Linked DNA regions of Coturnix japonica. The protein of the gene in region 1 interacts with the protein of each later gene in a pairwise test. Links are inferred from orthologs where the notes say so. Each region holds a gene or a part of one and is shown on either strand. Other genes may lie near its edges.

Region 1 (3,654 bases):
GTGGGTGAAATGATATAGGTTTATGTCAGTGAGCTTTGGATCACACTTCATGTGCAAGTTATCTAGTCTGATAATAAAATACATTGTTCTAATGTATACAAAAGAAGAAAATATGTGGTAGAAAATGCAACATTATGAAGAGATGGATGAGGAGGGTTGGATTTGCAGTCAAGCAAGTAAGTGAAGTTGCATATCCTATGAAGAACATAGTAGTTAACTTGAAATAGGTGTCATCTGGATTTGCATCTAACAACTTTGTTTCTTTACTTTGCTTTAGCTATATGGAAGCCTTGCTCTACCTTATCTATGCTTACCAGAATAACAAAGAACTCTTGTCCAAAGGCCCATACAGAGGGCATGATGAAGAGCTGATATCTCACTACAGACGAGAATGTTTGCTAGTAAGTGAAGGATGCAATATACTACAAAAGTTGAATTTTCCACATAGCTTTAACAAATTAGGCAATGCTGCCATACTTTCAAAAAAACTAAAACCAAAGCATTTTCATTAAAAATTACAAAGATTTCAATAAGAAAAAGGTGAGAGGAAGAAATGTGTGTAGTGAGAATAAAGCATGTGTTTGTTTTAAGTAATCAGTTTCTTTATCATTATAAGTAGTGTGCTCACTGCCATTGTGTCTGGGCTTAGGTAGAAGCAACAGTGGGCAGTATTGGTGGGTGAACTTGCAATGTTATTGCAGTTGGACAGGGATGCAAATGTTTAGAAAAAGGTATCAGCAGATATGATTTTTTTTCCTTGATTATGTCACCTTTTTCTTTGCAATCATAAGAATAGGCAAGAGCAGATGGTAGGACCTCAGTTTTGAAAAGGAGTAGCTAAAAAAGTTGACTTGGCAGGTATCAACTGAAGTGGCCTTAGGAGAGTAGTACAAGATCAAATGGTTTAATAGAGTTTATGTACCATTGCTGTGAACGTTAAAGCTCAGTTGTTATTGCAGATTTGCCATAAGGCAAACAAAAACAGAATGGTCAATTGTGAAATGCTGTATACTTAAAGAATTTCTTTTTTGTGGTGGTACGTGAAGAAACTAAATGAACATGCTGCAGCACTGTTTGAATCAGGAGATGATCAGGAAGTAAACAATGGCCTGATCATTATGAATGAGCTTATTGTCCCGTGTTTGCCATTACTTCTGGTGGATGAAATGGAAGAAAAAGATATTGTCGCTGTGGAAGATATGAGAAATCGTTGGTGTTCCTATCTTGGACAAGAAATGGAACGTAAGTATTTATTAAAGTATAAGACGCTCACACACTCCTGATTTTTATTCATTACTTTTTAAAATGTTTTGGTTTGTGTCTTGAACAGAGCCTGAATCTTTTGTGTTTTGGTAACATATTTTGAATTACCATGACTTTAGAGTAATACTGTACACATTTAAATGAACAGCAGTTTTTCCCATGCATACATAATAATGAAGTTCTGCAATATTTTCTATATATAACAAAGTCCTTAAACGAAACTTTTATTCACTGAAGAAAGTGCATTATTCCAAGTGAAACTCTTAATACTCCCATCCCTGTTAAAAAAAAAAAAAAAAAAAAAAAAAAAAAAAAAAAAAAAAAAAAAAAGAATCAGTTTGGAGCAGGAAGAGGAAAATTGCACCTGTGGACATAAAAGCTTATGGTTATTTTCTTTTCTTTCATTTGCAGCTAACTTGCAAGAAAAGCTGACAGATTTCCTGCCAAAACTACTAGATTGTTCTACAGAGATTAAAGGTTTCAATGACCCGCCAAAGTTACCCTCGTACTCCACACATGAACTGTGTGAAAGATACGCCCGAATCATGTTGTCACTCAGTCGAACTCCAGCTGATGGAAGATAAATTCTGCAACCTTCCTGAGCACACTGTATAAACTTTTTTAGTTCTTAAACCTTGCCTTCCTGTCACAGGGTTTGCTTGTTGCTGCTATAGTTTTTAACTTTTTTTTTTTTTTTTTTTAATAACTGCAGAAGAGAAATGACTGTACAAAGTTTAGCCAGACTGCAAACAGTTAAAGCTGAGAATCGCATGGCACTCAGTCGTTTCAACCAGAATTGATGCAACTTGCAAGTCTGATAATTATGGCAAAACTGCTTTTTTGCCACTTCTCTGTTACAGTATTACTTTGCTTTTATCTTAAGATCCTTTACTTTATCAACAGCTGTCTGGATCATTTTGTGACTGCAACTACTTTAAGTGTCCAGTGCTGTGTAAATACATGGTACTTGGTAGCTTGTAAATGAAATGAAAGAATAAAGTTTTATTTATGGCTACTTCTGTGTTTGCAAGCAGATAACTTGTATATTAGTGTAAAATATAGGCATTTTTAGGAGAGATACAGTATATTGATGGGTAACTCCATTTTATAGATAAGATTCTTCAGGATTTATGGACAGTTAGATGAAGGTAGTCAGAGATTACTGTATGTGAATATTCTGAAAAACTGTCGCAGTATTATACGCTGTTGGTTGGGTTTATTTTGTATATACTTTTTTGATCTTTATGATACTGCACCTGAACACTTCTGTGTGTGTGTGGCTATGCCACGTGTATTCTGATGACAAGGACTGGCTTATGAAGCAAAACAACAATGATGCTTCCCTTCTATTCTTTGGAAAAAGCTTGAAAGAAAAAAAAAACAACAAAAAAACCTATTTTCATTTGAAATATATTAATATCTCTAAGCAAAAATTTTAGGAGTTGATTTGAATAGAGAAAATAAAGATTTTGAAAAAGTGGACTTGGCAAATCTTAAAGGTTAATTAATGTTGTTGTTTTAAAAACAAACAAACAGAAAAAACCCCAAACTAGTATTTTAGCTATGTGAATGACCAGAAGTAAAAACATAACTAATCCCTTACTTGAAATGTGTTGCTATTGATGCTACAAGAATCTCAGCAATCTTATGTGTGTCCTAATCACATTTCTGTTGGAAGTGAAAGAAAAGTTCTACAGGGTTTGTTTTGTAGAACTGAAACTCTGTCTAGTTTAAACAAAGAGTGTTACTTATTTTGTGGAGAAAGAAATTTAACGTGTCCTTAATTAATCTTGTTACCTGATACTATTTTCATTCTTACTCATTATAGAGAACATTTTGTGTTAGAACAGTAAAATATGTGAATGTTTGCTTGTTGGCTTTATTGGAGCGACACTGAACTTCTCATTGCAAGCTTTCTAGTGGAGAGTATTCTGATTTCTGCTAACAAAATAACTGAGGAAAGAAGGAAGGAGGAAGGATTAATTGATTTCAGATCACCTAGAACTGTAGTGGGATATGTGTGGGCAGCTTACATTCAAGAAGAGGCTAAGTTCAGTCTTGAAAATTATTCACTCTTGAGAAAACACTGGGTTGAAATATATAGTAAATAGAATGTGGGCTTGACTTTAAAGGTTTTTTTTCTTTTCTTTTTTTTTTTTTTTTTTTCCCCCGCATGAGTATTTTCCTCTTCTTTTTTTCAGTATTGAAGTGCTTCATAATTGTCAGTCTACCCATCTGTTATATTAAACTGAGCTATTAGTATCACAGTACTACTCAGAAACCTTTTCTTTTTTAGGCCTGAAACTACTTGTGTATGAAATGTCACATTTCAAGGAAAGAATAAATGCATCTTCTGAAAATGCTGAAGATGCATTTTAAAGGGCTTCACGT
Region 2 (3,654 bases), on another chromosome or scaffold:
GTTTGCATTTTGTCCTAGGGAAATTGTTGTTTTGTTTAAAATTATAAGCTGTTAATTTCTTAAATATAAACTTTATGCTAACCTAATATTACACTTCTCTGGTAGAATAGATGCATTATCTACACACACAAGGCTTTGTTAGTGCTCAGTGTACCTCTGCTTAGGGTACCTTACTTACTTGCTTTGACAAGTATTTTTCCACGGGAACTCTACTTTATATAGGTGGCTTTATCAATCTGCTCTTGGAAGGATACCGAGGTATAATTGTGATTAGACCTGCTAAATGTAAAAAAGGTTTAAGATGTTTAATTAAGAATCAATTACTTTTAAACATATAGTTACAATTTACTCAGTACCAAACTGGAATAATACTTGTGAGGATAAATTAGAGAATTCCAGTGTTTTCTTGAGTTTTAAGGAAAGAAATAATTAAATATTCCTTAAGCATTTTAAAGTGTTGAAGTATAATTAATGTATGTTAAAAATCTGTCACGTCAACACATGTTTTGAGTTTGGAGGTGAAACTTAAGTTTTTACTGTTTCAGATTCAGAAAGTCTGCAACAAAAAGCTGTGGGAAAGATACACTCACAGGAGGAAAGAAGTCTCTGAAGAGAATCATAACCATGCTAATGAAAGGATGCTGTTTCATGGTGAGATGCTGGGATGTGTCTTTGATACTCATTTAACCATCAGTACTCTTTAGTGGAGGGTTTCTGTTGGTTATTCTTGAGGTCTAAATTTTATGACCGTTAATTGCAAGTAAATAAGTGGTGAAAAAGAACATTGGAGAGACAAACAGAAGAATGCTTTAGACAGCTGCTGCACAGTTTTGTTTGGAGTGTATTTTTTAACTTCTTTTTTAAATACCACTTAGTGTCAAGAATGGGATTTATGTAGCGGTGAAATCCAGAATCTATGATATGAAGCCATGCTGAAGGGAATCCAGGTTCACTGAGCCTTCTCCTATAGCAAGAGTTGTTTGAGATAGTAACCTTTGTAAATATATGATAAGCTGACATGTTTCAGCTCCTATCCCTTGCATAAGATCTTCAGCAATCTTGTCATGTAAATTGGAGCTCACAGTTGCTGGAGATTGATTTCCTTCTGTGTGTGTGTGGAAATGGTATGCCAAAAAGAAAAAAAGTTGGGGGATGATAGTAAAATTGTTATAAATTTCCAAGTGCTGTACTTAAATATTTATACTTCCCTTCTTTTAGGCTCCCCGTTTGTGAACGCAATCATTCACAAAGGCTTTGATGAAAGACACGCTTATATAGGTGGCATGTTTGGAGCTGGAATTTATTTTGCTGAAAATTCTTCCAAAAGCAATCAGTATGTGTATGGGATTGGAGGTGGCACTGGATGTCCAATTCACAAAGATAGATCTTGTTATGTTTGCCATAGGTAAGTTATGAAGGAATAACATAAAGGAATCTAATTTTGATTTGCTGGTCTGCAACACAGTGTGTAAGTTAGCAGATTCTGTGAGAAAAGATTTCCTTGGTAACCAGGCCTTGCTATACACTGAGCCTAGCAGAGATGATCAAAGAACTTTGGTATTTGTATTACAGAGCGTTCAACCATCTTCAGTGTATATAAATAAGCCTTTGCCCTTAAAAATCAGACTTAGGTAGAGAACAAGGAGGATCTGCTAGCTGCTTGTGTTTAAAATGTAGCAGTGTCAGTGTGCTGTCCACTTGATTGCCTGTTTATAGAGACATGGAAAAACTTAGTGATGCTCAGATGCTGTGTTGAGGAGAATGCACTTTGGAAGAGTTCATCTCTACCATGTCACTGCTGCTTCAAGCGCTAAAGTATAGACATGGATTTATGCAATCCCTGCCACTACCTACATTTTTACATCCTTGAGTCCGTGTGCCTGTATTTATACTGTTGCCATCTTCTGGTACTCTCAAATAAAAAGAAGAATCTTCTTGAGGTCTAGAGAATGTCAGACTGAAATCTAATGTTAGAGCATTAGTGCACTATGATGTTAGCATGAATAGTTAGGGAGTGGGGACCCATAGAAAATTAAAAGGGAAATAAAATTTCAGAGTTTTGCAAACTACCAACGCCATCCAAAGTGTCCACAAAGTGCCGCAGTTCTCAAGCAGCAGTTTAAAATTATGAAGACTGTCTTTCTAGTGCTGTACAAGCATTCTGTAGTCATGATTCTTTTTCCCCTTTTAACACAGACAGTTGTTGTTCTGTCGTGTAACGCTGGGCAAGTCTTTCCTGCAGTTCAGTGCTATGAAAATGGCCCATTCTCCCCCTGGACATCACTCAGTTACTGGGAGACCCAGTGTCAATGGACTGGCATTGGCAGAATATGTCATCTACAGAGGGGAGCAGGTAAGTTGCTCTTCTGGTTTGCATTTTCAGACTTTTATTATTTTAGGGTGATGTAGTGTCTTGCCTTTTGTGAGGGTTTGTTGTGGTTGTTTTGTTTTCACCTTACATTCCATGTGCTAGGAGTAGCTTTTGTCTTAATCTCCAGCTGTGGCCGAACATGAGTTTTCTTTGTTGCCTGAGTACTCGAGGCATTCTACCATTTGACATTTTGTCCTTTTCTTTGACATAAACATGTTGGTTTTTTTCCTCTCTAACAAACATTCTGAATGTATCCAGAAAACGTAAACTTAATAAAGAATGTGTGTGTCACTCTTTCAGGCTTATCCAGAATACTTGATTACTTACCAGATCATGAAACCTGAAGCCACCACTGAAGCTTAAGATAAATTTTGTGTGAGAAACCATCAGACTTGGATGTGAAGATACCGATGGCTGCCATCCTGTTAACTGCAATGAGTTGTTGAGAAAAAAATCTTCCATCCACAGGTGGTGTTGGTAGCAAATGTGAATAAAATCTGCCGTTTTTGACTTGATGAAGCTTTAATAATGTATAGTATGTTTTTCTAAAATTTCAGAATTGTCTTTTTTCAGCACTTTAACGGATACCATTCCAGGCGTAAACTGCAGTTTGCCTGTACTAAATTATAAACAAAAATTAACTTGAAGCGATGGTTTTATACAATACTGCATTGAAATATAACAGAAATTATGATGCTCTATACAGGAAATTGTTTTACTAATATTGTGTTCTTTAAAACACTGCATTTACACTGAAAATGTTTTCATTTGTAAAACTGTAAATAAGAGCTTTTGTACTAGCTTGGTATTTATTTACATTGCTTTGTAATATACGTGTTTTAGAACTGCAACCTTGTACAAAATGGTTTTTTCCAGATGTTGGTTTGTTCACCTGTTTGCTCATGCGCAATAGATTTGAAAAGCCAATTATTTCAGGGTTTATCATTTGTTTGGGAGGGAGAAAACGAATTTTATCTGGAGAAGTTTAGAAATAGCCAACTTTAGATTGAATATTCAAATTTTTGTTCCGTAGTTTTATTTATGAAATATACATTCCTGAGAGTGATAGGCTATGAAAATATTCCAGCTGAATGCTTGGGTGCTTTTCCACCTCTTTATAGAGTCTCGTCTTCTAATTTCTGTAAAATGTCTTCTGAAGTTTTTATTTAACTGTAGCTATAGTTGAACCGTATCCTCCCTTCAAGGCTAGTAGACCTTGCAAGTTAGTTTTAATAAATTATTTTTCTTGAATGTAGTTGGCAAATTAACCTCAAGGAGGTCTG
Region 3 (3,654 bases), on another chromosome or scaffold:
CTCACAGTTAAGTATTATATGTGAACTTGTAGCCCCCCTGTCCCTCTCATTAATGAAGATGTTGGATATTACTGGCCCCTGTGTGGGTCCTGGAGTAGACCACTATGAACAGCCAATTAGACCACGTGGTCAGTGATTACAAGCCTCTGGCCCTGCAGTAAGCTACTAAAATAATGCATTTAATTAAAGGGATGTCTTCTTAGTCTTCATTTGGTGCAAATGTAATTTCCCCTTTAGATGGTATTTTTTGTAGAATGACTACTTGTGGTGACTTACTGACTACCATCCTCTTCCCTTATGGGCTTGTTTTGCAATAAACAGGGAGAGATGTGTTGATAGGTAATTTAGACTAAGATCATAACTGCTCAAAATGTAGAGATTTTAAAGGCAAAGCAAAGGGAAATTTTATCAACAAAAATGCTGGAAAGGTTAAATTGAATGTAGAAAGTGATCTTAAGTTAGTAATTTTTGGATGCAAACCACAAGAGTTAATAAGCTGTATAGAAATCAGTTTTGTAGCTGGAATGTCTCCCTTATTCAGGAAGGAGAGAAAACCAGAAGATCTGCAAAACATATGTCTCAGTGTTGATTGTGCCCTGTCTATGCTTTTCTGCAGTGTTTTCTGTGTTGTGGGATTCTTGTTCAGTTGACTAGTGTGCTCCCCTCACTGCAACTACCTCGCATACTCATAGTGAAGGTATTTCTCATCTGTTTCTTGCCTCATATGCAAGAAATATCAGATTGGCCACAGTTTGGTAATGATCCATCTATGAACTGAGAAGGCAATAGCCATGCTTGCAGCAGGGCTGCCGGGGAAGATGGCAGCCTGAAGCACCCTGTGACAAAGGGTTCTTTTTTAGGATGCTGACTCCTCAGTTGCAGTGTTGCACCAGGGATCCTCCCTTCTTGCTTGGTTTTCTATAAAGTTCTCTCCACCCACTTTCACATGACTTAGTTGCACACTTCAGCCAGCTGATACACAATTGCACACTCGGCAGGCTGAGTGATCTTGACGTATACTTGCATTTTTTAATCCATGGACTTCTGTCTTGTTTCCCTAAAATCCTGCCATTTTATTTTAGTTGTGAAGGGTGTACTGGTGCTGCAGCTAGATCCTGCACAGCAACTGAAACAGCAGCTGAGCTTCTCATTCTTTTGTCAGCCTTTATTCAGCCTTTATTCAAAGTAAAGGAAGATGGGAAGACAGATGAACAGTAACAAAAATAAAACCAATAAGTATTTTCTACATTAATGTCCTTGATTATTGTACTTTGTATACATACATTTTTCTTAGTGTACGTGCACTGGAAAAAAAGAATATCAGATATGCAGTGATCTTGTAAAGATGGAGAAACAGCAGTCTTTTTCTATAGGACAGTACCTAGCTGCCCAGGCAGTGTAAGCATATCTTAGGGTTTAATAAAGGTAAGTTTTTCTGATGGCAGTGTCAAAGATTGAGGTAACTCAAGGGAACACAGGAATCAAGAACAGTACTCCTGTATCTAGAGTAACTGTTAAATTAAGAATAAAAGAATTTAAGCTATTTATATTGTCTTCAGTACTCCTCAGAGATACCGAACTTCATTCTTTTCTGTATTTTTGTTGTGTTTCTTTATATTATTCCAATATAAGGAATTAGAAATGAAAGCTGTTCAAGATTACACTATCACATTAATAACTTCTAGTGATGCTCATGTTTCCTTTTTTCATTTCAGGCATTAAACATTAATTGACTACTTGGAAAGAAAAAAAAAATCATGGCTTCCAGCATGGCTAACCCTGCTAACCATTTGCCATACTTCTTTGGCAATATTACACGTGAGGATGCTGAGGAGTATTTGATGCAAGGAGGAATGAGTGATGGACTATACCTGCTTCGCCAAAGCCGGAATTACTTAGGGGGCTTTGCATTATCCTTGGCCTATGGAAGGAAGGTTCATCATTACACAATTGAGAGAGAGCTGAGTGGGACATATGCTATTGCAGGAGGCAAATCACATGCAAGTCCTGCTGAACTCATTAACTATCATTCAGAGGAAGCAGATGGCCTTATCTGTCTACTGAGAAAATCTTTCAATCGACCACCAGGCGTTGAGCCCAAAACAGGGCCCTTTGAAGATTTAAAAGAGAACCTCATCAGAGAGTATGTCAAACAAACATGGAATCTGCAGGTAAATCCAGGTGAATTTGCCATGAAGTGGACCTCATGGTAGCCTAGAGTCTCCTCACTAAGGGAGAGTAGAGGCAGGTGCTAATCTCTTACGTGATAACAGTGGCAGGACCCACCAAGGGAACAGCATGGAGCTGCTTCAGAGGAGGGTCTGGTTGGGTACTGAAAAAAGGCTTTTCACCAGAGGGTGACAGGACACTGGAACAGGCACCCCAGAACAGAGGTCATGGCACCAAGCTGCCAGAGCTCCAGCACTGTTTGGACAACACTCTCGGAGATGCAGTTTGACATCCCAGGGATATTAAGTATACCTAGCTATGTCAGACTATCTTTTCAGTTAAGATACTGATGTCTTAAGTTACTCACTTCTTTCTTAGAGATAAAGGAAAAATCCCAGCTTTGTGATGTTTAAATTGCTCTAGCGTATTTTGTCTTTCAGTGTCTGTGTAGCAACTAGTATTTTTCTTCACATAAAGTAAATATGTGCATGTGTTAGGTGTCCCAGATGCAATGCAATACTGGGGTTACATCTGTACGTTTTCTACTGCAGAAGACAGTTAGAATGTCCTATTATTTTACCACTCCAGGGTCATGCTCTTGAACAAGCTATAATTAGCCAAAAGCCTCAGCTGGAGAAACTGATTGCCACTACAGCCCATGAGAAGATGCCTTGGTTCCATGGGAGGATCTCCCGGGAAGAGTCAGAGCACCGTATCCTCATTGGGTCAAGAAACAATGGAAAATTTTTGTAAGTGTTTTCCTGCATTGCTGTCGTTTATCACTACCATCATTAAATAGTTCACTTGGCTGAACAGCAAGTGAGAGTATACCCAAAGAGGTGGCTTATTCACAGATGCCTGCTGAATTTATCCACACGTACTAAGTGGCTGTGGTGAGTTAAACTTAGCCCACCAAGTTGCTCTCACAATCTGCCACTGCAGCTGGATGGGAAGTCAGAAAACAGGATTGAAAAGCTTGTTGGTCAACATGAGAGAGAACTGGGAAACTGTTTACCAGTTCTTGGAGAAAACTGATTTAATCCAAATTAAAATTTGGATAGTAAATAACAAAGACAAAAACATAAACCACCCTCAGAACACCCCCCCTCCCATTTTTACAAGCTCATCTTCACTCCTTCACGCCCAGCTCCTCTTCCCACCAGACAGCACAGGGGGATAGAGTCTGGGGTTATAGTCAGTCTGCAATAGTTTCCCCCTGATGCTCCTTTCTTCTCACACTTCCTGCTGCAATGTGGGCTCTTGGCAGACTGCAGCTCCTTCTTGAGCCAAGGTAAAACCTCAGAAGTGAGGGTGGACATGCTTCTTCAGTGCCAACTGTTTTCACATTACTGATTTGCCATTATTCTGCCAAGCTCCAAATTAATGGAGATGTGGCCTTCATATTTATTTATATAGGCAGCTTAAATTTTAAGTCCTCTAAATCCTCTTTTCAGACTGAGTTAATTCCTGTCATGTCTTACCTAC

The links.
Region 2: the proteins of USP25 (region 1) and TNKS2 interact in a two-hybrid assay, tested with the Homo sapiens proteins (2 studies listed by BioGRID and IntAct). The link is inferred for Coturnix japonica from reciprocal best matches to the Homo sapiens genes USP25 and TNKS2.
Region 3: the proteins of USP25 (region 1) and SYK interact in binary tests that used the Homo sapiens proteins (3 or more experiments, as listed by UniProt). The link is inferred for Coturnix japonica from reciprocal best matches to the Homo sapiens genes USP25 and SYK.

What each region holds. Positions count from the first base shown.
Region 1 is NC_029516.1:88,770,108-88,773,761, forward strand, and holds the end of USP25 (ubiquitin carboxyl-terminal hydrolase 25), read left to right. Parts: intron 1-277; coding exon 278-401; intron 402-1,046; coding exon 1,047-1,242; intron 1,243-1,674; coding exon 1,675-1,847; 3' UTR 1,848-3,130; downstream 3,131-3,654. UniProt on the Homo sapiens protein: Deubiquitinating enzyme that hydrolyzes ubiquitin moieties conjugated to substrates and thus, functions in various biological processes including inflammation and immune response.
Region 2 is NC_029521.1:17,321,874-17,325,527, forward strand, and holds part of TNKS2 (poly [ADP-ribose] polymerase tankyrase-2), read left to right. Parts: intron 1-545; coding exon 546-651; intron 652-1,218; coding exon 1,219-1,405; intron 1,406-2,196; coding exon 2,197-2,353; intron 2,354-2,671; coding exon 2,672-2,734; 3' UTR 2,735-3,654. UniProt on the Homo sapiens protein: Poly-ADP-ribosyltransferase involved in various processes such as Wnt signaling pathway, telomere length and vesicle trafficking.
Region 3 is NC_029547.1:39,258,179-39,261,832, forward strand, and holds part of SYK (tyrosine-protein kinase SYK), read left to right. Parts: intron 1-1,715; 5' UTR 1,716-1,757; coding exon 1,758-2,171; intron 2,172-2,757; coding exon 2,758-2,918; intron 2,919-3,654. UniProt on the Homo sapiens protein: Non-receptor tyrosine kinase which mediates signal transduction downstream of a variety of transmembrane receptors including classical immunoreceptors like the B-cell receptor (BCR).